Linked DNA regions of Notamacropus eugenii. The main gene of each other region encodes a partner of the protein of the gene in region 4 in a complex. Links are inferred from orthologs where the notes say so. Each region holds a gene or a part of one and is shown on either strand. Other genes may lie near its edges. The genes, in order: EPC1, SMARCA4, TADA2B and TRRAP.

Region 1 (7,247 bases), about 320 Mb from region 4:
ACCCCCACCATTCATTTAATGAGCATGGCTATGTAGTAGTATATTTAACTGACCTGTATTTGCTGGAATCATTTTGCTTACATTTACAGCAGCAGTATGTTCCTAGTCTAAGTGACAGATTTTTGATAGGTTTAATGGTAAACAAAACTCTTTTCAGATTACCAAGTAAATCTACATTGTTTCTTTTTTTTTTTGTCATGAAAATAGTACTGGAGGGTCCCAATTCAATTTAACCTGTAGTATCTAAGCGCCTAAAACTAGATGTCAATGAAAGATTTTTCTCACTTCCCCATATTATAAAGGAATTTAAAAGCATAAGATAAGTGCTGATCACTTAAGTGTTTGGTCTAGGGGCTTAATATGGAAACTAAGACCTGAAGATCAAGAGTAGCTCTGGTATAAAATTTCTTTTAGTGGCTGTCATTTCCCCTCAGCTTGGCTTCTTATTTTAACATCCATTCTCTCTCTGGTTAGTGAAATCTAACAAATTTCGAATTGTAAATGGAAAAAATAACTTAAATGGTAAACAGAATTTTGCCTTCAACTACACATATGCAATACATACATCAAATCTACAGAAATGGCATGTTGCAACGGATGTAATTTCCCTCATAAATTTGAAACTTTAAATGCAAAATCAAATATACTGCCAACTTAAGCAGTCAGTGTCAAGACAAGCAAAACTGAGCCACTCCTGGAAATGCCTAAATTTAATTCACAAGACATTCCTGAAAGGATTATTACCTATGGAGTAAATAAAGCAATGAAGGGTCTTTCTTCTTGGTTCCACCACAGAGCTACTTGCATCTAAACAGGTGTAATACTAGCATCTACTAACCCCCTCCCACAACAGATAATTTTCAAAGCCTACATACAAATAAAAATAAAACAAAAAGACAAGATACTGCGGTCACAAGTATTTTAATTTTTTAAAATCACTTATCCAAAACAAAAATTGCACTATTCTACTCTAAAGTTAACACAAGTAAAAATTAAAGAGGTTCTGTCTCACAGAGAAGGTGCTGAAAGTCAGTGAAAGCTTCACGCCTCACACTACACTAGGTTCCTTCAGTGCACATGAAAATGTGATAGATTTGACACTACTCTTTCAAAAAAAGTTAACATTCAACCGATACAACTATTTATTAACTTTCTAAGCAACCAAAACAATTTCATCAGTTTTTATTGTTTGAGTAACATTACAATGAGCAATCACCACCATACAATTCATCTTTCATGTTACAGTCCCAAGGAAAGTCATTGCAGTACAGTTACACACAAGTCTGTTAGAAGCACTGGGCTCTAATGGACAACTGTTCCACAAACTGCGGTATTGTGTGCTTCGTGGACTTCCTGGAATTGTCATTACACTGCACCCTGTTTTAAGTGGCTGTACCTGAAAACCAAGGTATGCAATTCCTTAGGATTAGAAGGCATCAAGTTATGCGGTGAAAAACGAGGGGAAGGCGGGGGAGCAGAGAGGAGAGTCTAAGGAGCCTCCCCTCAGAACCCAACTTTTTAAAAAAAGAACAGTTTCTGCTCTGCCTGTGCTTCCATGAAGCCCAGAACAACAACAAAAATACACATGGTAAGTAGGCAGCAGGAGGGACAACGTTCCGAACCCAGAAACTCGCCCCACCGGAGCCCTGGCACGGAGGCCGGGGGTGGCACCACCCCCGCGGGGCTCGGCCGCCTCCGCCGGCCCCCTCCTCGCGAGCAACGAGCCCTACGGCCCAGACAAACCTGCAGCCCGTTCCTCCGGGAGGCTCGGCCGGGGACGAGGAGCCATGGCTTTTACCCGCAGCGCTCCGGGGAGTGGGGAGGGAAGAGGCGACCCGGGGCCGGGGTCCTGGGCTCGGATCTAACCGACCTCCGGCCTGGCCGCGCAACCCCGGCCTTTCCGAGGGGCTCCCGGGGACGGGACGAAGCGGGGCGCAGTCGGTCCTGAGAATAAACAGGAGCTCCGGGGGCCTGCAGTAAACACGGGCCTCCCACAGGCCCCACGTGGGAGCTGCCTAGAAACGGAAATGCTTTCCCGGCCAGAGCGGCCGAGCACAATCCCCGAGCGTGCGGCCCGGGCGACGGCAGCGGCCAGAGGGCCCCGACGACCTGGCGGCGCCACCCAGCGGCGAGCCGGGAGGCCTGCAGGCGGGCGCTCCTTCCCCGCTCCCCCCCTCCGTCGCCCCCCCCAACCCGTTCCCCTCTCTCGCTGCACAAGGCCCAACCCAAGAACTAAAGACCACAAAATGGCTGCCGGCCGCTTCGTCACGTGACCCCCTTTGTGCCTTTCGGGCCCCCGAACCCGGCGGGTCCCGGGTGGAAGCGGCCGAAGGGGGGGGCGGCGGTGGGCAGCGCCGGTGCGGGCCCGGCGGGGCCGCGGCGGGCCGGGGGTCGAGGCCGAGGGAGTCGGGGTAAAGGCCGGGCCGGCGACTGAACGTCGGCGGGGAAGAGAAGATGGCGGCCATTTTGTGTGGGGCTGACTGCTCCGTGGCCGCCGCAGGCAGCAGGGGGAGCGGGGCCTGGCGGTGGGTCGGGCGGGGGAGTTTACACGTACCGACTCCTCTTCCTTCTCCATTCCGGTGGGCATCTGCGGCACGGCCCGGTTTATCGAGGCGTATTCGTGCAGATCGGGCAGATCCTCACAGCGGAAGACCGGCAGCGGCTTCGAGGCGTCCAGCGCCCGCGCCCGAAACGACAATTTACTCATCTCAGGCGCAGCAGATACCTCTCCGCTCTGGGGAAACGGCCCCGGCCAGCGGGATCATGGAGAACCCGGGGCTCGGTCCCCACTCGCCTGCCGCTGCCGGGGACTGGAGGGGCGGAGCGTGGGGCCCGCCGTCCGGGCCCTCACCGCAGCCGGGAGGGTGGGTGCCTGTGCCGCTCCGCTCCGCTCTCACTCGCTCTCTTCAATACGCCATGGCCAACATGGCGGACATTAAAACTCCACTGTGCGCTCTTCAGCCAACCCCAGCCATTCCCCACACTGCATCGCGCAGCGGCGCGGGCACGCGGCGGAGGGGGGGAGCGCGGGCTCGAGGCCGGGCGCCGGCACGGACTGCGCGCGCCCCCGCCAACCCCTGCTCCCCAGGCTGGCTCCGGCTCCGGCTCCGGCTCCTGGCTGCTCCCGCCGCCGCCGCCGCCGCTGCCTGCTCCGCTCTCCTCCCCCCGGTCCTCCCCCGCCCCGGGGCCGCCGCTCCCGCCCGACGCGGTCCGGAGGGGACCGCGCTGCCGGGACCCCGGGCTGCCCCGCTCCCGGCCGAGGCTTCCCGGAGAGCCGCGGGAGCGCTGGGGCCGGTCGCCGCCGGGCTCCGGGGGGCCCCTGCCATCCCGGCCGCTCCTCCAGCCCGGAGCCCCCCGTCCCGGAGCCCCGGCGCCCGCTGCTGCCGTGGGAGGGCAGCCGCCGAGAGCTCGATGGTTCGGAGCGGCCGGGGCGCGCTCCTGCAGCCGGGCCGGCAACTTGGGGGGCCTCGGGGAGAAAAGCCCGGCGCGACGGAGGTGGCGGCGCGAACACGCGCGCACACACCCCCTGACACACACACACGCACACACCCCCTGACACACACCGACACGCGCGCACACACCGACACACGCGCGGGCGGGCGCGCGCCCCGACACCACTCGAGCTTCTCTGCAAACCAAACGGTCGCGAAGTCAGCGCCGTCTACACGGGCTGCCCTCGAGGAGCCGCCCCCCTGCTGGGGGGCACGGCCCTGGGCACCGTTACCCCGCCGCCGCGCCGGGCTGGGGCGTCAATATTAAACACCCGGCTGCCCCGCGCGAGGCTTCATTCTGTTTTATCTGCAGATGCGGGGAGGTAGACGCACATGGAACCGGACGGAGGAGGGGAATCCTGAACGTAACCGGGACGGGGACGTTCCGAAAGGGTTTCCTCTTTGCCGAAGCCGGGACCCTCTCCCCCAGTTGTCCCGGTGCTGGGGCTTTCGCGAAGTCCTGATTCCCCGCCGGTGGTAGAAGAAGAGGCTGTTTCCCGAGTGGCCGTGACGGACGGTCATTCGTCCTGTTTAGGAGGCTTTCTTCTAAAACATTTTACACACATTAAATAAATGCCATTTGTGGCAAGGGTCGTAAAAGACGTTCTGCAGCTGAAACAGCAAGAGCCCGAGCGCCTCTAGTCATTTATGAATGAGACGCAGGCGAACTCGTCTTCTAAGGGTTATTCCAGACGCCAGAATAGGGATTCCAAGAGCCTTCCCAGTTTAAAATGGTCCGGGATGGGCTGATTGGTCTTGCAGAGAAATCCCCACATTCACTCCACAAAAACGTCTTCTCAGTCCATTTCCCCCGGCTGTACATCCCACATCACGTCAAGATAAGTACGATCGGTCGGCATCGTTAACCACTGGCTGAGGGCAAATGGGCAAATGGGCAAATTGCTACCTCCTGGCCTGGGTTAGCTCTAGCCCATCCTGGGGACAGCAATAGCCGCTACTTCCCTCCAGCGGGAGGATGCTAATATAACGAATATTGATTCAACAAACTTAAGAAAGCAGAGTCAGCTTTCCCTTCACTTTATACAAAAATCCTTCCTCCTCCAGAAACAAATATGATGACTCCTTTAGACAGGTAAATCCCCTTAAAACAGCTACTGCTGATTCCCAAGTATATACCCCACAAATATATACAGAATATAGACTACATGCAAGGCGCTTCATACGGGTTACGTAAAATACAAAAGCACCAAGGAAAGACACTTGCTTTCTGACTGAGCAAATCACTTCTCTGTCTCCATTTCCTCATCCATGAAATGGATGAACTGTGTTATCTACCTCACAGAATTATTATGAAGGAAATTCCTTGTAAATATATACATGACAGCTATTATACCAAGATGAGAGAGACAATCTCTGACTTCCAGGTGCTTATGACTACTCTAGTAGGGGAGATAATACAACACACAACACAAGGCAGTAATGAGTACCATGAGTACAGGGAAAGGATCACTTTAGACCAAGATAAACTTGAATGGAAAAGGTAGCATTTGAGCTTAGTTTTGAAGGATACATAAGGGGTCAAGAAGTTGAGCTGTGGGGATGAGATCAAGGATGTTTGCTTATGGAAGAAAGGAGCAATGCATGTTTGGGGGAAAGCAAGAGGTCTGATCTTGTTAGAGCGCCATATCTGGCTAACTGCTCACAGGTAAGTCTAAAAAAGAGTTATATCCAATTTCAGATAGCTTTGAACATCAGGAATTTGGACTCGATTTGGTTGTCACTGGGCATCTTTGAGCAAAGGACTAATGTGACTGAAGCTGTCCTCTAAGAAGAATAACTTGAGAAGTGGTCTATGGAAAAATACAAGAGAGAACGTTAGGAGGGTAATGGAATAGCGTCTGCTCTAAAGTCGTAGCACTGGGAATGGAAAGGAAATGATGAATGATTTAAGTGATAATCCTCATAAGTTATGAAAAAAAATCTAAACCTAAAACATTAATTCTAGTTCAAAACTGGGATTTCTGCTAATATTAATGAATAGTAAAGAAAGAAAAAAAGAGTCAAACCAACAGAACCTAAAGACAAGTACCCTCATATGTGTGGGTGTATATATGTATATATGTGCACATGTACATATATACATACATACATACATACATATATATATATATAAAACCATGCTTACAATGTTTACACATACACCCAATCTGTTACCAGGTCCTGTCATTTACTTCTTCAAAATATATCTACAATTCATGATACAATTCATTCTCTCCTGTCCCACTGTCATCCCACTTAGAAGTCCACAATAGACTTCCTGTTTTCCCTATCTCTACCTTGTCCTCTTGCCAGCCCATCCAACAATATTCTCTCAATCTAATATTCCTAAAATACTACGTTCGTTGTTCTTCTGCAGATCAAATACCTACAATGACTCCCCTACAGACATCCTGCCCTAACATCGAAAAGTCATGCTCCTCGCTGGTCAGGACAATCAGTTTCCTGCCATTAGCATATGCTATGTTCATTCTCACCTCTGGCAATCCCCCATCCTTTATTCCTCAGTCTCCCTTTCAAAATGCTTCTTGTCCATTGCAAGTCTAACCTCCATAGTGAACCAATGACTTTTTCTGGGCTTATTTCCTTATCAGAGGAGAGGGTTACACTTTTATTTCCAAGATTTCTTTCAGCTTGAAAAATTCAATGACAGACTGATAATCTCTTGTATCTCTGAGCTCCTATTACTTGTATAGTCAGTTGTAGAAAACTTTTTTAGTTGTCTTATATTTTATCTCTGCAACTAGAATATGATAAGCTTCTGGAGGGCAGATGTCATGTCTTCTATATCTTTTATATTCTCCCAAAATGTCTAGCACAGGGCTGAGTACACAGTAGCACATTTGTTAAATGCCTGTCAATTGACTGATTTGCATATATATATATAAGCATATGTTATATATACACACACTTTAAATCTTATCACTATTTGTAAAACCCTAGTTTATGGAAAATAAAATCCATCTTTTTTTAAACAATGCCTTCCTCCTCTAAAATCCCATGATGGACTAGTTTGTGAAAATGTAGACTTCTTCCCACCTCCAAAAAAAAGATTCTTAGGGAAATTGATGCTCCTAAAATTAAAAAGTTAATATAGCATGTTAGTTGTAAAACACTTTGTGACTGTAAAACAATAAATACTTTAATAAGTTCTCCTTTGAAGGAAAGGCAGTTAACTTATTGTTTCATATTTTATTCCTGAATGATGTAGTAATCACAACAAGTGTACCAAAACTGCAGTTTCTAAAAATCCTTTTGAGAGGGTCATGGGGCTAGCCTAAGACATCTTAATTATAGTTAAATTTCCATTGTTAATGTTGGACAAATCATTAAGTTCTCTGGGTCTTTTTTTTTTTAATTTTCTAAAGAGGAAAAACACTGACCTCCCACATGAGATGCCTATGAGTGTCCATATTAATTATTACTAGCAATAAAATGCTTTGAGTTCCTCTGAGATAAAAAGCTGTCTAAGTACAAAGCACTTTATTTTATATTACTTGAAGACTAAAGTTGTGGTGAAGTTAAAAGTCAGTGAAAAAAGTTTCACTTAAATTTAGACCAAAAAAATCAGGAGTGATTGGGTATTTTCTGCTACTTCCAAGCCTAACCTTCATTTTTTTAACTCTCAAACTGGTAAATGAACTTATCTCCATCCTGCTAGTCTTGCAAGAAACTGATGAAAAAGAAGGTTAATAGAGGTAAAGACCAGCGTAGTAATGTTTAATGCGGCTATTTCTA
Region 2 (7,198 bases), on a different chromosome or scaffold from region 4:
ACCATTATCTAATACTATAGTGCATCAAAACCAGAATATTAATCATTTCCCAAAGGAACCCTGAGTTTTTCCACCTCCAAACCTTTGCTCAAGCAGGTCACCCTCTCTAGAATGTCCTCTTTCCAATATCTGCCATAAGTTTATAAGTTCTTCAAGGCTCAGCTCATATTCTACCTCCCCAAGATATTTTCCTTTCTCACTTGGGAGCTAACTCTCTTTTCTCTGAACTCCTATAAAGTTCCTTGTATCTTGTATCATAGTTCTACCATGTCTTACTTATGCGTTTATCCTCAAACTATCTAGACTTTAGTAGCTACACATTAAAAACTCGTCTAGTGAATGAAGGTGTTGCAACAGATTATATCTAAGGCAGACGTTCTTAACCTTAAGTATTAAACTTGTTATAAAAAATTTTTTTGATAACTGTATTTCACTGTAATTGAATTGAATTTCTTTGTAATCCTACGTATCTAAAAACACTATTCTGAGAAGACAGAATGCCAAAAAGGGTCCAGGACACAAAAAAGGGTTAAGAACTCCGGCCCTAGGCCTGTTCTAGTCTTAAAATTCTCTAAGATGATCTATCACTTCAAAAGGAAATAAAAAATGGACAAGTAGTAAGATTTTCAGTTTCCTCATCTGTAAAGTAGGAGGGTTAGTTTACTCTATATGATCTCTGAGGCCTTTTACAGATCAAAGTTCTGTATGTTGCAAATTTATATAGTCCCTATTATGTGCAAAGCACTGTGCCAAGAGTTTTTTATAAATATCATCTCACCTACAAGTTGAACTTATGTTTTTACTCTTTCTGAAAGAAACAAAAGATCAACGGCGCCTTAAAATGAAAACTCTCACGAAAGTAAAACATTATACCTAAAATCTGGGGCATCAAAGCACTCTCATAGAATATTTACATTTCTTTAAAAAAAATTACACAGAACATAGTCTTGGTGAACAAAGATTTAAAGACACCAAAGTTCTTTCTTTTACCTTTCGGTGACCCATTCTCGTTCTCTTCATCTCACAATCGAGATTCTGAAATAACTTCATTATTATGGCCATTCGAAAACGTAAAACAAAATTTCTTTCCACAAAAAAAAAAAAAATGGGGTGACACGAGCTGATCTTTTTAGCTTGGCTGACTCAACACCAAGGGGCTCAAAAAGCCCTTGACTCCGCAATCATCCAACATGTTCTGGTCTTTCTACTTTATTTTTTAAAAACCACTGTGCTCTTGGAGAGGAGGTGCGGCTCACTCCCGTAACTAGAAGAGCAAGCTCCCAAAGTGTTTCTAACAACAGTCTATTGTTAAGGAAGAGGGAGGGCTCAAACAACAAAGGTCCTGGACCCTTCCCCACGCGGTGTTTGTTTGGAAATCCTCCGAGAAATTTCCCGCGAGGCGCCCGCTCCCCATTGCCTCAGCTCTCGGGCCCACGCGAGGGAAGCACTTCGGGCCGCGGAGCTCCTCACCCGGCGTGCTCTCTCTCACAATCACACGCGCGAGCGCGCGCACACACTCTCTCTCTCTCATTCTTCTCGCCCCCAGCCCCTCGGAAGGAGGGACCCTCTGAGCCAGCCGGAACGACCGGCGCTTAGAGATCCGGGGGTGGGCACGTGGGGGTGGGCAGAAAGGACCCGCGAGGCTCAGAAAGGTGCCCACGGCGGCGGCGCCGGGGGGAGGGGAGGTGTGAAAGAGGAAGCAGAGGGAAGGGGGGCCGCAGGGTAAACTGAGGAGGCCGGAGGCGGGGGCTGTCCGTGAGGACCTCGGTTATAAGCGGCCTCTCCTCCACTCTCCCGCTCGCCGTCCCACCCCCCAGGCCCTGCCCAGGCCGGGCCTAGCCTGGCCAGCCCTTCCAGCCCGATCGCAGACTAAGAGCGAGCATCGGAGGTTTCTTGACCCCGCGGCGCCACCGTAGACCCCGTGCGACCCAAGGCGACTGTGTGGTCCTCCCCCTCCCCCGCTCCCCCCTCTCCATTCAAACCAACCGTCCCCTCCCTTCCCCCAACGCCCATCCCTGGGGCCTGGTTCCTTACCCGGACCTGGGAGGAGCCGCCACTGCCGGCAGCCCCGCGTCCCCAGCGCTCCCCCCTTCTCTACCGGGGCCAGGGCCCGTCGCTGGCTTTCGAGTCCTCCCTTCTCCACACGGAACAAAGACGCCGCCACCGAGCGAGGGGAAGCTGGTGCGCGCGCCCGCTTCTATCCCGCGCTCGCTCGCCCGCCGGACGCGCCTCCGAGGCTGCACCCCCCCCCCTCCTCCGCGCGCACTGGCCTGCCCTTCCCCCACCCGGCCCAGCGGCTCCTCGTGCGCGCCTCGGCTACCCAGCCTATCTTCCTTCTCCTCCTCCACTTCCCACCCTTCCGTATCAGGGAGGCGGGCTGCGCACGCGCGCCCCGCCTCCTCGGAGGCGTCGGGAGGAAAAGGGGCCCTAATCGGAGGAAGACCGACCGAGGAAGAGGGCGCGCTCCCGCACACGCGTGCGCGTCCGCCATCCCTTTGGACAGTCTCTCCCCGAGAGGCACGCGCACGTGCACGCGCACGCTCCCAGAGCCTCGCTTCCAGTACCCCTTACCTTGCCTCCTTCCCCTTGGTGCCTGGGCCCCTCCCTCACAAACGCCACCTCTGGCCACGCCGGGGAGCATGCGCTCTGGGGGCGCCACTGCGGCGAAGGGAGTGGGGCGGGGCGACCGGAGGAGGAGGAGAAAGGCGGGGAGGGGGAGGGGGAGTGAAAAAGAAGGGCCGGAGACTCGGATGGGGGGGTGAGAACGAGGGAGGGGCAAGGAAGGGGAGCAGGAGCATGAGGAAAGGACTGGAAAGAGCGGGGATTGTGGGGAGGGGGCAGCGTGGCCTTTGGAGTCGGAGGCCCAGGCTGTGCGCCCCACCCCGGGTGACCTTGGGCCAGTCACAGCCTCCCTGAGACTTGGTTTCCTCGTCTGTGGAATGAGGGAGTTGGACTGGCCTGGGGGAGGGAGGTGAGAGGGGGCCGAGGGAGCCGTGGCCCAGCCGGGGCTCGTGAGGGTGTGGAGAGGGTTCAAAAGCTTGTGGGTGGCCGGGAGTTAGGAAAGAGACTGCCCCCAGGAGGGTTTGGGATAGTGGCTAGGGTAGATTTGGGGTAGATCTGGGAGAAAGAGGGAGTTAGGAAGTGTCTGCGCAGCTAGGGGGTCAGGACTTGTGGGGAGTTGTTATGGAGGTGTGTGGGATCAGGGTGGATCCAGCTGGAGTTTGTGAGAGAGCTTGAGGCTACGTCTGGAATGCGGGTAGAATTCTGAAGAGGCTGGGGGGTGAGAAGTTTGGGGATGGCAAAGGAGGGAGGACAGGACCTAGGGAGCCATGTGGGGTGGATGGAGCAGAGGGAGAGGGAGGGCTCACGCAGAGAATACTTTGTTAGGTCCATCAGTGGGAGGGAGGCAAAAGAAAACGGGGGAATGGACAGAGCCTCCTAAGAGGGCTTTGCCAGAAAGTTTCTGAAGGTGAAAGGACTCTGGACAGTGGTAGTTGGCAGGAGGGAGGGTAGAGAGAGCAGCTGTGGGAACTGCAGGAAGGCCCTTTGGGAGTGGGCAGAGTGAATCTAGGGATACTCCTTTTGGTTTGAGAAGTTTCAGTCATTTTAATAAGAGGCATGCCAGAGGGGAAGAGAGCCCCAGCACAAGAGAGAACAGGTGGGGTTTCTTGGAGAGAGGCGTAGGAGAGAAGAGAAGCAGCTTTGGTAACAGGTTTTGTCACAAGTTCAAACAAATCCACTCTGAACTGAATTAATAGTGCCTGACGCCTTGTACTTAAGGGTGTGTTTCAGAATCACCTTTATCTCCTCTCATGGTGTGAGAGATGCTTATTTAACTAAGGCACCAATCATCCGCTTGGCACCCCTAGCACATGCACCTGCTGGAGCAGGCATCCAAGGGAGCTCCTATCACAGCCCCTCCTGAGTGGGTGGAGTAGGACGCCTCAGAAGTGTTCAGTGACAGAACCCTCTGGTGCAACCTATCTAGCCAAGTGTTTGACAAGCTGCCTCTCCTCTCAACAGTATTTTTAGTAAAGGTCTCAAAGGAAACAACAACAGAAACTACCTCACTGAGCTGCCAGGAGGATCACATGAGACAGTGTGTGTGAAGCGCTTTACAAATCCGAAAAGCACTGTGAAAATGGCAGCAGTTGTTAGGTCATCGAGCTTCAGAGCTGGAAGGGATCTTGGAGAAGGAACATTTAGGCCAACCCCCTCATTTTACAGGTGAAACCAGTACAGAGAAGGGAAGTATTCCTTTAGCATTCCTTGCCTTTTGAAATTGCTTTGTGTGTGTTTGCTTGTGTACATATAGCATGTCCCCTCCTTGAGAGCAGAGCTCACTTCAGTGTTGTCTCATAAATGCCTAATAAGTGATATTTAATAAATGTTGGGTTGCATTGAAAGCATCCTGAAGAATTTGAAGCCGTACTTTAGCACAGGTTCTACCTGCACATATTGGCTATCCAGTTTGGGAGGGAGTTGTTGAAACGCTTTCCCAGCAAGTTAGCAGTGCCCAGGAGAATTGATAGATCTATCTAGAGCTTTTCGTACATTCAGTGTTTAGACTTAAAAGACATCCTGGATGGCCTCATTAATTGTTCTGATCTTTCCTTGCCTTAGTGGGGAATACAATGAGAGGTAGCTCAAATTGAATGTGAGGTAACTAGGACACCACACCTCAGCAAGGTTTCCTGCTTCCTTCACTGTGGGTAGTTCTGTCTACACAGGTTGCAACCTCCTCTATGCTCTAGTAGACTTATTTCATGAGTTGCTGTGACCAAAAAAAAAAAAAATAGGTCACCTCGTGGACAACCATGTGAAAAATAACCCCTTCCATACTCAGCTGGGCTGGCAGTTGGATGAGACTGTATTCAAAACCTTCCCAATATGCTCAGCTGGCATATCCTCACCATGATGACAGATTGGAATAGGACTTGAATAGAAGACTGGACTCCTACCTTCCCCACAAAAAACTCTTATTAGTTTATCAGAAAGCAGTAATCATGCTGGAATGTTTTTCATTTATACTGGTGAAAAGTTGACCACCTGAATAATTAACTTCAGGGGGAAAGTTTTGAAAGTAGAAACTGTCTCCAAGACCTTTTTTACTGGGAAGACTAATCATTTAATCAAGCTCTTCCAAGCTTCTTCTGCATAAGAAGTTCCTAGCTTATATATCTAATTTATATTCATTCATATTGCTGTCCTCAGAGATGAGCCACAGCTATTGAGTCCTTGCGCAAATCACTTTATCTGTTTCCTCTTTATAGTGATGGGGACTACTAATTAGAATGTTGTATATATTTTATGATGTGGTCACTATTTGATGTTTTTGCTTTTCCATAGGGGAGAGAAAGGACCACTGGAAGAGTAGGAGAGACAGTGAAATGGTAGACATAAAGACAAAAACCATTAATAAAATATTTACAGTTAAATAAAGGAGAGTCTTGGACTAGGCAGATGACATTTACATAGTTCCTTCAAGTGTGCAAAGCATCTGAATATATATTCTCATATGAACTTCACAACTGTCCAGTGAGGGAGGGAGAACAAGTCCCCATTTTATGGATGAGAAAACTGAGGGTCAAATCACCTGGATGACTGGTCCATAGTCACAAAGCTACTGGGATCTGAGGCAGGTTTTGAACACGTCTTTCTGACACTGGGCCAACATACTAGCCACTGTTCACAGTATCTCACTGTAGCTTAAGGCCCTTGTCAACACTAAGTCTTTTGATCCCATTTCAGCTACTTTGTTACTCCATTTCTTCATTTCTATAATTTCTAACATTTTGAGAAGGGAGATTTTTGAATATTTTCAGGTTTCATGCTTTCTAGTTAACGAGAAGGGCCTATGCTCTTTTCCTGTCTAGTAAAATGTAAGTTATGTGAGAGTAAAGGCTGTTTTTATTTTGGTTTTTGTCTTCCCACTGTCCTGCAAATTGATAAATAAAAGTTTGTTGGAGAGAGGGAGGAGGGGAACGGTCTGTGGAATGTGTTGCAAGAAACCTGCAGTAACTGTAATTGAAGTACTCTTTACTTGTTTCTAAAGCCCAGAGCAATAGAGGTATTAGGATATAGCTCTGTATTATTATTGAATTACCAAGATGTCAACTTAAAACTGACAGCTAGGTAGGTGGCTCAGTGGAAAGAGTGCCAGATCCCAAGTCAGGAAGACTCCTCTTCCTAAGTTCAAATTTGACCTGAGACACTTACTAGCTGTGTGACCCAGGGCAAGTCATTTAATCCTGTTTGCCTCAGTTTCTTCATTTGTAAAATTAGCTGGAAAAGGAAATGGTTAACAATCATAGTATTTTTGCCAAGAAAACCCCAAATGGGATCACAAAGAGTTGGAAATGACTGAACAACTTAAATTTATACTATTACTTTTATACTATATGCTATGAGCAACTAACTCTAAAAGAAAAAGTTTATCATAAATTTTATATTTATTCCTAACTAGTACATTTAGGGTGAATGTCAGGCCCTTCAAGGTACCATCTCAGGATTATTAGCAATTATCATATTTAATTTGGCTTCAGTCTGGATAGGTTAACACTCTCTTCATGAATGAGTTTGTTACTTATATTTTTGAGTAAACATTCCATTTTCTTATGCATTTACCTATTAAATTTATATAAAAAGCAAGTGTATGAGCAACTGATCTTTACAGCATCATGTATTCTGAATACAGTATTATTTACTTTGATTGATTGTCATAATTTTTTTTTACACTGAGATTTTAAATGCTGGCCTTGGGATAAAAATTATGATAAACATTCATATGGAAATGAGATTAAATTCTACAAAATTACAACATTATAGTGATAACTGGCATTTATAAGGTGTGTTCTATGTGTCAGATATTTTATAATTATCTCATCTGATCCTCACAACAGCCCTGGGAGATAGATATGATTCTCATCCTCATTTTATAGATGAAGAACCTGAAACAAACAAAGGTTGGTTTACCCAGGGACACACAGGTAGTGAGTTGTCTGAGGTCAAATTTAAACTCAGGTTTTCATGACTACTGGACTGGCACTCTAATCCCTTAGGCTCCCGAGCTGTCCCATCAGGAAATTTTGCATTTTCTCTGATATCTTTAAGCTGCCATGTAGAGAAGGCAGAAAGATACTCTAGGCAGTATTTAGGAGAAGCAATGGTTAGCATATTAACCTAAAATTAATTCTAC
Region 3 (7,033 bases), on a different chromosome or scaffold from region 4:
GTAATATGTGGGCCGTTATTTACGAGGGAGGGGTGGGGTAAAATGTGTGAAGGATTAAACGAGTTTATTATTGCTTATATGCATACAGTTCTTTACCATGAAGTTTTCATATTCATTACTTTACCTGACAATTACCTCCTGAGAGAATCCTGCCTCTGATACTTTATACCTGTGTGACTTTTGATGTCACAAACTCCCTGAACCTCATTTTTCTCTTTCATTAAATGCAGCAGTCAGCTATGATCTTTGTGACTTTTTCACTGGCTGTCACTTTCCCAACTTGGCCATCTCCTGGGTTCTTTCATATCCCACCTTCTGCAAGAGGCACCAACCTTGCACCTCCTCCCATACCTGCTTCCCCACCCAGTGCTTTTCTTCTGAGCTTACCTCCAATTTATGCCGTATTTATTTTTTCTGCACACACTTGAATGTTCTCTTCCCCATTAAAATGTGAACTTCTTGAAGGAAAGAACTGTTTTTGCTCTGTTTTCCCAACACTTAGCACACAGTAAAAGTTCAATAAATGCTTAACTGACTGAAGTCAAAGAGTTTGCTCCCCATTTTGGAGATATCACTTGGAGGGACTCAAAGAGATGAGGTGACTGTCGCCAAATCACACTTTTGTAGAGTCAGGGTTGAATTTAATGCAAGTTTTTGGACCTGGCCCAGTGCTCTATCTACTACATTGTTCTTCCTGATAGCTAAGTACAATTGTCAATTAAAAATCAACTTCAAATGTATTTCCTCCTGCCTCTACATTTTCTCCACAGATGGAGACTTATTTCCTACCAGCTGTTACAGAGTAGGTCACTCTCGGTATTAATTGTAAGTTTCACTTTCTAGTATTCAGGACTGTGTGCCAATCCATTTGCCTGGATGTATTTTAATACCTTGAGGCAAAGAGAAAAACGTTTGCAAATGAATGGCTTTCCTGAAAGGCTTTCACTTTTCAGGTTCAGATGAACAGGGAAAGAAGAAAGCAGGCCTATAGGTGGGAAGCAATGGAAACTAAGCTACCAATGAAATGAACTATTGGGCTCTGTATTACTAAAATGAGGACAGTGCATAAATGGCATAATTACAAAATGTTTTTAAGATATGGATGGAAAGTCATTAGAAGTTTCAGTTCATCTTTATTAACTCCAAAAAGAACATAAGAAAGTAATACTACCAAGAGAGTGCTTCTGATATTACAAAAAGGAGTGTTCAAAAATTGCAAGACCAAAAAAGTCTAACTTTGAAGTAGAATTTTCCAAACCTTTATTTTGATATAATCCAATTGACATGTTCCTGTTTTGTTTTTTTTTTTTTTGCCATTTATGCATTTCTGGACAAGGTGCAGAAGTTTAATGCAAAATATACTGAATTTATTTATTAAACCATGCCTCTTCTTTCCCATCTTTTCCAAACAACCTAATAACCTCCCTTGATCAAATTGCTTGAGAATCTGAGACAATTAGGAAAAGGAGCCCTAATTTAAGGCTGAGACTAATGCCAGTATCCTTTAGAGAAGTAGTCTTGGCCAAGAAAAAAAAGTATATCTGAGAAAAACTAATTTTTCTGCTAATTATTTCTGTTTTTTTTGTGTGTCTATAAACTACATTTTACAGAATAGTTAAATGAATGGTAGATCTAAAATATTTACTTAATGGTCTTAGTTGAGTGACTCAAAAATTTAAGAAAAAACTTCACTTTATGTATGAGAATAAAGTTAGTTTTCTCTGTTCTACCCCCCTCACTTCTTTTCACAGGAGAGGCTTCTCTGTGTACTTCCTCAAAGTGAAATGAAAATTCTGTAGTGGCTGATGATTTGAAATGGTGGGATAATTCAGAACTAAAGGCTGCTTGTCCTTTATTTCTACACTTCACCTAAGACATAATTTTTAGTCAATCACAGTACTTGGCTTCTTTGACCTTGTTTTAAAATTCATAAGATGTTCAATTCATTTAAAATAAGTTGTCTCAGCTTAGTGTCCAGCACTCATCTTAACATCTGTCAGCTACATATTTCAATATATAGTTTTTTTTCTCTCTTAACTACCACAGGCCTTTTTAAAAATGGCACTGAGTGAAAAATAAGTCCACTAAAGGTTCCTTACGAAAACTGAAAAGGTTTGCTGAAGATTCACATCAATTATTTCTGATGTTCAGGATGGTAGGAATGCTTTGGATTCCTTTATTTTCTGTTTGAGTCCTTTGCAAGAGAGCGTCAGCCCAGCATGCTGGCGCTTAAGTGTTTCTAGCCGCTGGCTGAGCACCTCAGTTTGGTCCACCTTTTGCTCCAGGTCCCGAAGGAGCATCTCTTTGCCCAGAAGTCCGCACTTCTGATGTAACTTGACATTATCAACTCGAAGGCTGTCTCTGGCTTTCTTAGTCTTGGTCAAGATGTCCCTCTTCTGGGCCACCTGAGCATCAATATCCATAAGCTCTGCCTTGAGGCGCCAATTCCCCAGTTCCACAAACTGTAATTTCTCCTTCACGTGGGTGATGATTTGGACGTTGCTGGTGACTTTGTGGTGGAGCTTTAATAGCTCCTCGTTGCGTTCCTCCACCTTCTCGTTGAAGGTCTGGTTCTCTATCTTGAGCTGCTCGAAGTCGATGAGGTGCAGCCCCTCCGTCATCTCCTCCTGCGCCTTCATCCTGGCCTGCAGGTGGCTCAGGCTCTGCTTCAGCTGCACGTTCTCCAGGCGCACGGCGCTCATCTCCTTCTCCTTGCGGTCCTCGTTGGCCTGGATCTGCTCCACCTCGCGCTGGGCCGCCGGCTTGCCGCCAGCCACGCGGCAGCTGCCCATGGCCTGCAGCATCACCTGCTTCTTGAGGGCCTGGAAGGCCTTCCACTCCTTGTCCACTTGGGCCAGCTTGTCCTGGCAGTGCTGCCGCAGCTGCTCGAGCTCGCGCTGGTACCACTCCACGTCTTGGCCGTGCTGCTTCTTCAGCTCCTCCAGCGAGCTCAGGTAGCGCTGGTAAGCCTGCTCCTTCTCGGGGGCGTCCTGGTCCGAGGACGTCTTCTCCACCTCCACGCCGGGCTCGGCGCTCTTCTTCTTGCGCAGAGCCTGGGAGATCTTGTGCTGCAGGTGAACGTTGTACTGGTGGATGCGGTGGCGCTCCGACAGCAGCCCGTGATACTGCTCCATGAGCTCGGCGCGCAGCTGCTGCTCCTGGAGCTTCAGCTCCTCCTCGTCGGGGGCCTCTTCGGCCTCCTCTTCCTGCTCGTACAAGTCCTCGTCCCTTTCGTGGGACTCCAGCGACACGTAGCTCTCCCCGTCCTCTCCCAGGGACTGCCTCTTGTCCTCCGGGATCCAGTCTTCGTCGCGGCCTTCGATGGATTCCGGGAGTCCGGCCTTGCTGGTCTCCCCGGCGTCAGAGATCGACGGTACCTCCTCCGCCGCCGCCTCCCCTTCATCCTCCTCGGCTTCTCCCTCATCCTCCTCGGCTTCTCCTTCATCCTCCTCGGCCTCTCCCTCATCCTCCTCGGCCTCTGCCTCATCCTCCTTGGCCTCTCCCTTATCCTCGGCCTCTCCCTCATCCTCCTCGGCTTCCTCGGCCGCCTTCGCCTCTTCCATGCTTCCCGGCTCCATCTCCGCGGGCTCGCCGTGCTCGGCGCCCTCCGACGGCGCGGCCATCGAAGTCATTTCCTCTGGCCCCACGCCGTCCGGGTTCCCTGCCTCGGGCACACCCGGCACCTCCACGCTCATTTCCTCCGGAGCTTCCAAAGGAGCCTGGGCCCCCTCGGGGCCCTCCTCGGGCAATTCCATCCCTTACCCTTACGTCCTCACCCCTCCTTCTCACACAGCTAACTCGAGGCAGGGGAAAGGAGTGCGGGGAATCCTCGGCTTCTCCTCTTCTGTTTGGTTTCCCGGGGCAACCAGAGGCGCTGCTGGCGACGAGGGCGATTGGGTTGTCTCCTCCTTATTCCGCCAATGGGAGGCCAGGAAGGCGCGAGAGCGTGGGGGAGGGCCGACCGGGCGGGGGCGGGGCGGGGCGGGGCGTGACAAAAGAAGCCTCGTCGCTGTCACCTCACCCCCTCCCTCCTCCCTCGCTCGGGGATTGGGAGCGACCTGGAGAAGGACGCAGGCGCAGGGAAGAAAAACGTCAGGAAAACGGTGGCGGGGGGGAAGAGGGAAAAGGGAATGCGCAGGCGCAAACACCAGAACTGTCTTTCCTCCATAAGGGTCGGGGGCGGGAGGAGGTTGTTAAAGGGTTTCACGCTTGCGCCGGACGCCCACTGGGGCTAAGCGCCTGCGCGATGCGGAGGAGGGAAGACGGCGGCCTGACGGGGTCGGATGGCGCCTGCGTACTGAGACGAGACATTCGGCTGGCTGGCTCCGGCGGCTCCTGGGCCTTGGCCGTAGCAGCAGCGGTGGCGGCTCCGGCAGCCGCGGCGGGCGGCGGCGGCGGTTGTTCCTCGTACCCGCCCTCGGCCGCCGGGGGAAGTGGCGGCGTCTCGGTGGGCGGCGTCGGCGGGACCGTCGCGGGCGAGCGGGGGAAGATGGCGGAGCTGGGGAAGAAGTACTGTGTGTACTGTCTGGCCGAGGTGAGCCCGCTGCGCTTCCGCTGCACCGAGTGCCAGGACATCGAGCTGTGCCCCGAGTGCTTCTCGGCCGGCGCCGAGATCGGCCACCACCGGCGCTGGCACGGCTATCAGCTGGTGGACGGCGGCCGCTTCACGCTGTGGGGGCCCGAGGCCGAGGGCGGCTGGACCAGCCGCGAGGAGCAGCTCCTGCTCGATGCCATCGAGCAGTTCGGCTTCGGCAACTGGGTGAGCGCCGCGGCCCGGGGCAGGGGCCCAGCCTTCCGTCCCCGCCAGGGATCCTGTCCCCCTCCCCCTCCGCATCGCCTTGTCATCCCCTGCATCCCTCTCCCTCCCCAGCCCCTTGTCATCCGTCCCCCATGCCCCCCTCCCCCGCACCTTGTTACCCCCCAACCTCATCGCCTTCACACACACTCCCTCCCGCATCTTGTCATGTCTCCCCCTCCCCACCTTCTTATCCCTTCCCCTCCCCAGGATCTTCTCATCCCCGTCTCTCTCCCCAGGACCATCCCCAACTTCTACCTCCTTTTCAATCTTCTTGGCCTCCCATGCTCCTGGCATTTGAGTTGGCAGGACCCCAGAGGTCGTCTAGTCTACTCGTACCTCAGCAAGAGTCTGAGCGAATATCCTGGTCCTGAGGCCCCTGTGGGAAGAGTCACGGTTTTGAAGAACTCCCTCCCTCCTGGGGCAGCTCAGTTTCCCCAACATTTTGATTGGGGGGGGGAAGGCTGGGTGTTTCCAATGTATTTAATGAAAATCTTCAATGACTTTCACCCTATTGCTCCTAGTTTTCTCTTTTCCCTCTTTCATGCCATAATCTTTTGTATACTTGAAGATACATATTGTCGCATCTTCTCTTGGAACTTTTTCCCTTGGAGTTAAAAGGGACCTTAGATATAATTTTTTCTAGGAGAGTTCACTTCTTTAAGAAGTGGCCTCTAGAAGAGAAATAAGGTGCCTAAGGCCACACAGGTAATAAGTGGCAGAACCCAAGTTCAAAGCCAGATCTCTCTGACTCCAAAATCCAGTGCTTTTTCAGTCCTACCATATTCTTTTCTTCCTGAGAGACAGGAGGGGACTGAATGCTCACAGAGGGCACAGTGGGAGCTGAGTTCTGCACTCCCACAAAAGGAAACGGTATTCAACCAGATAATTTAACAGAGTGTATTTTCCCCAGTAAATTCACTCTTTCCTGTTCAATGAAGCAAACCATGTTCATAGGAATTGAAGGGTTTTAGAAAAGAAAAAGGGCTTTGGAGGTCTAGCCTAAACTCATCCCTTCTACCCCCCAAGCAGTTGTCTTCCCCTCCCTGACAAAGTCATTATCCATTATTGAACACCTCCAGGGACAGAGCCAGTTACTTCATGGGCACATTGATCTAGTCAACAGAAAATTTAACTGAGAGAATGTTACTCATAAAATACTTTGCATTTTAGTTCTCTGCATTTCAGAATACCTCTGATACCTTTTATCTTTATCTTCAGAATATCACTTTCCATGGAGAGTGGCCTATGATAGAAACAAGAGTAGAATACATTTTCAAATTACAGATTGCAGTTGAGAAATGCTTCAACTCAGTTGAGTAAATATTTGTTAAATGGCTAGCCTTGTTTTAAGTAGTAGCAATATAAAGGTTGACTAATTCCAAGAGTATTACAATTCAGTTTGCATATTCCTTGACTTAAGAAATTAGTGACTCAAGAATGGCCCTTCAGCTCTCAGCGTCAAAAAGTTCCTTTAAAATAATTTGTCAGAAGAGCGGACATATGAGAATCATCCTTTTCTATTTATCAGAAAGTTATAATTAGGGATACTTGAGAAAATCTTGGTTTAATAACAAGTGTCATTCTTTTCAGTTTACATACAAGTAGGCCCTTAATTGGTAAGGCCTCCTCCAAAAGACCTACTTATGATTCTCAGCAGAATTCCCTCAGCAAGATGAAGGGTTGTGCCAGTTTGTTATTTCTGCTTCTGTAAGTATGAATGATTCAAATCTGAAGTGTAGCTCCCTGCGCAAATTCTGTTAGTCATAATGTTAGCCAGGTTTTGGTCATGGGTGGGAGCACATAAGGGGTTAATTCAGTTACAGGTATACCCCAGATGACATTACTTGTTGCTGAAATCATGTCAGAGTTTCATAGGAACAGTGTTATAAAAGTGTTAGGGTCAAAGCATCCTGATTATGAGGGATCGTCTGATTTTTATCGAAGGCACAATCTGTTTAATAATATTACAGTGGGTTTGTGCTAGGCTGCAAATGGGCTTTGATTATATACCGTATTATTCACATTTTTCTGAGACTTTGCTTGTCCAGGCAACGTAATAGAGGGTATACCTGTAGTGTTGCAGGTTTTAGTTGGGCTTCTGCCTCCAGGAATCATTTTGCCTGTGGCCATTCACGTTTGGCTCCTCTCAGGTTGCATCTATTTAGAAGTTCCTTTTATATTTATCATGTAAATGTAAGTTAAAACCTTTTTGATACTTGTGGCATTCTCCAAAGT
Region 4 (7,265 bases):
CCTTTTTTGGGCATTTTCCCAGCCAATTACTTGAGTTCTGAGTATTTTTCAAAAGGAGGGTATACTCTGGGGACCTGTAAGTTCTCAGTTCCTCCAAGGTGGCACAATCAAGGGAGAGAAGTTTGCTCCTCTCCTGGCCTGTGCTCTTATCTGTGAGCAACCACAAGCACTCTATTCTGCCCATGATCTGCGAGTATAATTTCCTCTCCACACCTGCCTCCAGCTCCACCACACTAGCACTCTTCCTCAACCCAAGAGAGCCACTCAGGGCTGAGATCGAGATCAGCTGCTCAATTCCCCCAGGGGCTTTAAGCCAAGGGCTCCAAAAATAGAGGCTGCCACTGCAGTTGCTGCTGCTGGTGGGGCTAGACTCATTCCCTTCTCATGCAGGTGAAAGAGCTTTCTCACTGACCTTTGAAACTGTCTTTGATATTTGCGGGTTGAGCAATCTGGGAACTGCAGCTGCTGCTGGGGATTCCACGCCTGAGGTCTGTTTTGGTCCTGTCCCTGCTGTGCCACCACCAAGGCCAGGCTGCGCTCTGCTCTGCACCCAGCGTGATAAATCTTTCCTGTTGGCCTTCCCGGCTGTCTTGGGCTGGAAATCTCTTTCACTCTGTTGTTTTGTGGCTTCTGCTGCTATAGAATTTGTTTAGAGTCATTTTTTTACAGGTATTTTATGGGATATGGAGGGGAGCTTCTACAGCTCTGTCCTTCTACTCCACCATCTTGGCTCTTCTCCCTATAATACTCTTGTATCTGTATATATGCACATATGTATATGTATGTATATGAATATATATATATGCGTGGTGAGGAGGCACAGTAGATAGAACACCAAGCCTGGAGATAGGAGGACTGGAGTTCAAATTTGGCTTCAGACATTTACTAGCTCGGTGACCCTGGGTAAGTCCTTTACTCATTTGTCTCAGTTTCCTCATCTGTAAAATAAGCTGGAGAAGGAAATGGCAAACTACTCTAATACCTTTGCCAAGAAAACCCCAAACGGGATCACAAAGAATCAAATACAACCGAAAACAATAAAAATGAACATTTATACATACATATACATGCATATATATGTGTTTGTATATGTATACATACACATACATATATACTTTCTTGCATGTATACATTTCTCACATATATTTTACATATTTATATATGTAAGTATATATATGTTTTTTTCTATCCAATAATGTAAGATTAGGCAGAGAAACCAAGTTCTGGCTAGGAATTTTTCCTCACTGGGTAGGACTTTACCTGAATTCAAAATGGTTCATCTAAAATAAACTCTCTAAATCCAAAGAAAAGAGAACCAAAGGGGAGGGTGACAGAAGAGGGATTATATTGCTTTCTAGGCTTAAAATGAGCTAATTATTGTAAAGGGTATTACAATAGACTTGGTAAACAATCCTTTAATATAGTTCTGGGTTGGACACCAGTTATTTCCAAATGCTTTTGCAATTATCAAAATTCAATGAAACAAATTAAGGAGGATAACCCCAGAAACATGGATGTTTGTTTAAAATTGGAAACAGAGGCAATGTTACATTTGGTAGAAATTTCTTAATCCAAATGCCTTCCTGCATCATGGTGGAGGGTTTTGTGTAGCTCAGTGAAACTATGAGCTATGCTGTGCTGGGTTACCCAAGATGAACAGGTCATAGCAGAGATTTCTGACAAAATGTAATCCAGTGGAGGAGGAAATGGCAAACCACTTCAGTATCTTTGCCAAGAAAACCCCATGAACAATATTAAAATAATAAACTACATGACACTGGAAAATGAACCCCTCAGGTCAGAAGGTGTCCAACATGCTACTGGGGAAGGGTTCTGGATAATGGACAAAGCTCTCGTGCCTTCTCAGTCACCAATGGATTGAAACAGGGCTGTGTGCTTGCTCCCATGTTTTTTAGCATGATGTTTTCAGCCATGTTGACAAATGCTTTCAGTGAGAATGAACACAGCATCAAGGTCAACTACTATACTGATGGTAACTTCTTCAATTTGAAAAGGTTACAAGTCAAGACCAAAGTAGAGGGAGTGTTGGTGCATGATTTTCTGTTTGCAGATGACTGTGCACTCAATACAGCCTCTGAAGCTGAGATGCAACAAAGTATGGATCAATTCTCTGCTGCCTGTGCTAATTTTGGCCTAATAGTTAACACCCAAAAAACACAGGTGCCCCATCAGCCACCACCACACCATCCATATGTGGAACCATCCGTTACAACAAATTGAGAAGTGTAGAATGCTGTGGATAAGTTTACTTGCCTTGGTAGCGTACTTTCCAGGGAGGTACACATTGACAATGAGGTTGATGCACACATTGCCAGAGCTAGTTCAGTGTCTGGAAGGCTCTGAAGAAAGGTTTGGGAGAGAAGAGGCATTAGACTGACTACCAAACTGAAGGTCTACAGAGCTGTTGTGCTGACCTCATTGTTATATGCTTGTGAAACATGGACAGTCTACCAGCGCCATGCCAGGAAGCTGAATCGCTTCCACATGAACTGTCTTAGGAAGATTCTGAGGATCACTTGGCAGGATAAAGTACCAGACACTGAAGTCCTTGCTTAAGCTGAACTGGCAAGTATTCAAACTATGCTTCAGAGAGCACAACTCTGATGGGCTGGCCATGTTGTTTGAATGCAAAATGTACACTTGCCAAAACGACTTTTATGGAGAACCTGAATGGGGCAGGCAATCACATGGTGGTCAGAAGAAGTGATACAAGGACACTTTCAAAGTATCTCTCAAAAACTTTGGATTTGACTGTGCAATGGGAGACACTGTTACAGGACTGCTCAGCATGGCATGCCCACATAAAAGGTGCTGTGCTCTTTGAGCAAAGCAGAATTGAGACAGCACGAAGTAAATGCAAGATGTGCAAATTTGGGATATCCACCCCAAATGTTCAAAAGAACTATCTGATCAGCCACAGTTGGACACACTGAAATTTCACTTTACAATGGTGATGCCATTTTGGTGGGCAAGACATCATGCAAAATGCCAGGGTAGATGAATCAAAAGCTGAATTTAAGACTGCTTAGAGAAATATAAAAAATCTCAGGTTTGCAAATAATAATACTCTGATGGCAGAAAATGAAGAGGAATTAAGAAGCCTCTTCAGGGTGAGAGAGGAGAGGGTAAAAGCTCCTTTGAAGCTTAACATAAAAAAGAAAACTAGATCATGGCAACTAGTCCCATCACTTCCTGGCAAATAGAGGGAGAAGAAATGCAAGCAATGTCAAATAAATATCTGCAGGGACTGCAACCATGAAATTAAAAGACATTTGCTCCTTGGAAGGAAAGCTACAGCAAATTTGGATAGTATAATAAAAAGCAGAGACATCACCTTGAGGACAAAGGTTTGTATAGTTAAAGCTACGGTTTTTCCAGTAGCAATGTATGGCTGTGAGAGTTGGGATTCTAGGGAAAGCTGGGTGTTGCAGAAGAGAGGCTTTAGAATTGTGGTACTAGAGAAGACTTCTGAGAGTTTCTTGGGTATCAGGGAGTTTAAATCAGTCAATACTTTAAGAAATTAATTCAGGTTATTCACTGGAAGGTCAAAATACAAAAGCTGAAACGGAAATACTTTGGCCACATAATGAGAAGACTGGACTCAGTGGAAAAGACCCTAATATTGTAAAAGATTTAAGGCAAAAGAAGGGAATGGCAGAGGATGAGATGAAAAATAGCGTCATGGAAACAGTGCACTTGGACAGACTTGGAGAGATAGTGGAGGATAGCAGGACCTGTAGTGCTAGGGGTCCATTGAGTTAGTCAGACAGAACTGAACCACAACTTAATCCAAAGTGAAAGATCTTTCAGGCAGGGAGTGCCTCCCAAACCTGAGTCTCCAGTCCAATGCACACACTTTGGATTTGTTACCACCAGAGGTGAGAAAATAAACTGGGAAGATTAAGGAAATGAAATGCTACCTACTCATAATTATCTACTGGCGGCACTGCTCTGTTGTTGGAAGCGTGAAACTGACAAGCTAACAAGATACTTAGTATCTGTGGGCAAGACAATTGCTGGGATGTGGCAAGGATTACTTTTAGTCCCTTCCCTAGGGTCCTGAGCGATAAGCATTTAAATGGAGGAGCCTATGTTTACACTTTTTAGAAGGTCCCAGAACCCTTTCACTCCTCCAGTGAGACGTCAATTACCCTGAGGGTACTTCCTCCCCGCCCCCTACAGCTTCGAGCCAGGCCGCACCCAGTTCCCCGTAGGTGACACCTGACTGGTGCTGCATCTGGGCACAGACTTTTTGATTGGCTGCTCCGCGCGCTGGGGGCAGCCCAGGGGGAGAGTCTGTCGCTTTAAGCGGGGGCGGGGACTCCGCAGGGCGGCAGCTTTGCTCCGGGAGCCATGGGCCTGCGTGCTGCAGGAAGAGCTGCAGCCTCTCAGGGTGAGGGAGCAAACGTTCCATCCGAACGTTCCCCGGTGGGGGTGGGGGCTGCGGGGGAGGGAGTGTGTTTCCACGGGGTGGGAGGTGGAGTGGAGGGGGCCTTGTGCGGCCGGCCGGGATTCTTGGGCGCGTGCGCGGGAGAGGCCGTCCGGAGCCCCGGTGCATGGGAGCCAGGAGGCCTTTCTATCATCGGACGGACGTAGTTAAGGGAGATACTGGGACGGAAGAGTCCTGGGGCACCGAACGAGAGCCCGCTCTCCCACTTCCTCATACACTTTCGGCAGAAACTGGGCCGGGGGTTACTCTGAGGGTTTACATCTTCATGTTACTCCTAGGTAGGGTAAAGGGCTGGGGGGGGGGGGTATGGGGCGGAACGAGGGAAAGGCCGAGGCGGTTTTTGTACTTGACCCTCTACGGGCACCGTAGCACCGGCCTGGGCAACGGCGAACCCTCCTGTACTGCAACAAAGAAGGGAACCTGAGGAGCGTTTGGGCTTGGGGCTGGGAAAAGGTGCCTGCCCCGCCTTCTCCGATGTTGTGGAAGGGCCCGGGGGCGGAGGGGAGGCGTCTAGATTCCAGTCCTCGCCTCCCGGCGTGAAGCTCGAGAGAGAGAAGAGAGAGACTGCAGGTTTGTGGCGGCAGCGCCACCACCTGGCGCGGAGGCGTCCCCGCAGGCGTTGTAGTACAAGGGGCGGGGCGGGGGTCCAGGCTAGGGAGTCCTGTCTGAGGGTCTGGGGCTTACTCGGGCTTGGGAGGCCTGAGGCAGGGGATGCTGGGAGGTTTTCCGGAGGAGACTGGGAGGTAGGGGGGAGGGGAGGCGGGAGTGTGTATGTGGAAGGTACCCGGAAGTGGGCCCTGGAGGAACCGCTTACCTCTGACCCCCCTCCCATCTCTAGAGTTAGGCTCCGCCCCCCTCCCCGGCCGCTTTCTGGAAGGCGAAGGGGGGAAGGACGGAGAAGGGGCATAGGAAGAAGGGGAGGGGCCCTTTGGGGCACCCGACTATCCAAGCACTCCTGGAAAACAGTACCCCATCCAGAGCCGAGTCACTACCTGACCCGCTTTATTGTGGCTCCTGGGAGCCTCTGAGAAAAACCTGGTTTGGGGGGGCTTTTCCAAATAACTTTGCTAGACTCTGGGCTTGTGTGATCCGGGGGTGCCCCCTCTGCGGTGTCTCTGGGACCAGAACGGATCCACACAAGTGACATTTTGTTCCCATATCTCTGAGGGAGAGTTTTGGGGTCACAGGGAGAGCCACATCTTCTCTTTTCTCTCTAAGTACACATACTTCCTGACTGAAAAGAACAGGAGAGAGGGGCCTGAAAGTTAACTGATCTTGGGAAATGAGTTTTGTGACTTAGAAGATGTTTCCCCAGTTTCATTTAAAGTTGAGGAATTATGGACATTGAAGAAAAAAGCTACACGTTGCGTATGTTTAAGGGTCGCAGAATATGTGAATTTAGGTGAAAAGACTTTAAAAAATCATGAATTAAATGGCTTTATGTTGGGGTTTATAGGCAGAAATTTTTGAAATAAGCACGTTCAGAATTAAGCTTTAGGATGCTTATAGGCATATGTCCTTGGAAAACTGAGATATATATATGTGTGCCTTTTTGTAAAAATAGGTTGGCCCTGACTCCATTCTTCTAAGAAACACAAACTAAAAAAGAAAAATGGCATTTGTTGCAACACCCGCAGCCACAGTGGTTGACCAAACCACTTTGATGAAAAAATACCTTCAGTTTGTGGCTGCTCTTACAGATGTAAATACACGTAAGTTGATTTTTTTTACTCATTGCCATTTTAGGAAACATCATAATATGACTTATTTGTTCCATTATTAAATTGGAACGCATGGTGAGATAAATGATGATGGCATTAAAGCTCATTTTACATTTCCTTTTCCCTTTTCGTAGGGAAGCAAAATGATGGATACTATTGGTTGGAGCCCCAAAGAGGCAAATGTGTGTCTGTATATGAATGTATGTGCGCGCGCACTTGTGCCTGGATGTATGACTGGGTATGAATGGCGATAGGGACCTAGTTATATGCCTTTTTATAGAGGGCCATGATATTCAAACTGATAAGATCTGATTGCTTCTCTTTTACAGTAAACCTTAAAGTTGTAGGATTTAAAAAAAATGTCAGTAACTTGAGTATATTTCACTTTCTATAGCGGATGAAACAAAACTGAAAATGATGCAAGAAGTTAGTGAAAATTTTGAGGTATGTTGTAAAACTTTGTTTCTATTTTGAGCCTACGTCATAGTCTCTTAGTTTTGACTTTATCTGTTTAGAAGTATATTTGGTGACATATCCCCTTTTATTTTCAGGGCCTTACCATCCTTCTGTTCACCCATGTTCCCAGCATTGGGTTTATCCATGACTCTGGTCATCATTCCCTCTATACACCAATTTGCCAAATTTTGACATTTCTCCTTCCATCACGTTTCACATCCTTTCGTTTTTCGTCACTTATATTGCCTTTAGTCTTAAGGCAGTATTCATCACCTCTTGCTTAGACCACTGTAGTAGTTTCCTAATTGATCTCCCTGCTGCCAGTCTTCCCTTTTCTCCAATCCATCTTCCACACTGCCAAATTTATATTCCTAAAATACAAATTTGACCATGTCATCTTCCTACTCAGAAATCTTGGCGTGGCTTCCTGTTATCTCTAGGATAAAATAATGAAATCCTCAGCTTGCTGTTTAAAGCCTTCCATAACATGATTGCTGTTTACCTTTCCACTCTTGGTTTAGGTTACTCTTCTTCCTATACTCTGTATTCCAGTGGAATTGGCCTGCTCACTCTTCCCTATACCTGAACTTTCATCTCTTCATTTTGAGCCTTTGCAG

The links.
Region 1: TRRAP (region 4) and EPC1 share a complex: the UniProt entries of both Homo sapiens proteins name them as parts of the nuA4 histone acetyltransferase complex. The link is inferred for Notamacropus eugenii from reciprocal best matches to the Homo sapiens genes TRRAP and EPC1.
Region 2: TRRAP (region 4) and SMARCA4 share a complex: the UniProt entries of both Homo sapiens proteins name them as parts of the BAF53 complex. The link is inferred for Notamacropus eugenii from reciprocal best matches to the Homo sapiens genes TRRAP and SMARCA4.
Region 3: TRRAP (region 4) and TADA2B share a complex: the UniProt entries of both Homo sapiens proteins name them as parts of the TFTC-HAT complex. The link is inferred for Notamacropus eugenii from reciprocal best matches to the Homo sapiens genes TRRAP and TADA2B.

What each region holds. Positions count from the first base shown.
Region 1 is NC_092874.1:72,575,569-72,582,815, forward strand, and holds the start of EPC1 (enhancer of polycomb homolog 1), read right to left. Parts: upstream 3,007-7,247; 5' UTR 2,708-3,006; coding exon 2,555-2,707; intron 1-2,554. UniProt on the Homo sapiens protein: Component of the NuA4 histone acetyltransferase (HAT) complex, a multiprotein complex involved in transcriptional activation of select genes principally by acetylation of nucleosomal histones H4 and H2A.
Region 2 is NC_092875.1:79,002,470-79,009,667, forward strand, and holds the start of SMARCA4 (transcription activator BRG1), read right to left. Parts: upstream 3,005-7,198; 5' UTR 2,572-3,004; intron 2,310-2,571; exon of another isoform or gene 2,035-2,309; intron 1,827-2,034; exon of another isoform or gene 991-1,826; intron 1-990. UniProt on the Homo sapiens protein: ATPase involved in transcriptional activation and repression of select genes by chromatin remodeling (alteration of DNA-nucleosome topology).
Region 3 is NC_092877.1:58,613,203-58,620,235, reverse strand, and holds the start of TADA2B (transcriptional adapter 2-beta), read left to right. Parts: upstream 1-4,014; 5' UTR 4,015-4,246; coding exon 4,247-4,759; intron 4,760-7,033. Other genes in the region: CFAP184 (cilia- and flagella-associated protein 184), read right to left, coding at 2,148-3,755. UniProt on the Homo sapiens protein: Coactivates PAX5-dependent transcription together with either SMARCA4 or GCN5L2.
Region 4 is NC_092874.1:393,973,805-393,981,069, reverse strand, and holds the start of TRRAP (transformation/transcription domain-associated protein), read left to right. Parts: upstream 1-4,247; 5' UTR 4,248-4,414; exon of another isoform or gene 4,415-4,749; intron 4,750-6,035; 5' UTR 6,036-6,083; coding exon 6,084-6,183; intron 6,184-6,324; exon of another isoform or gene 6,325-6,511; intron 6,512-6,586; coding exon 6,587-6,636; intron 6,637-7,265. UniProt on the Homo sapiens protein: Adapter protein, which is found in various multiprotein chromatin complexes with histone acetyltransferase activity (HAT), which gives a specific tag for epigenetic transcription activation.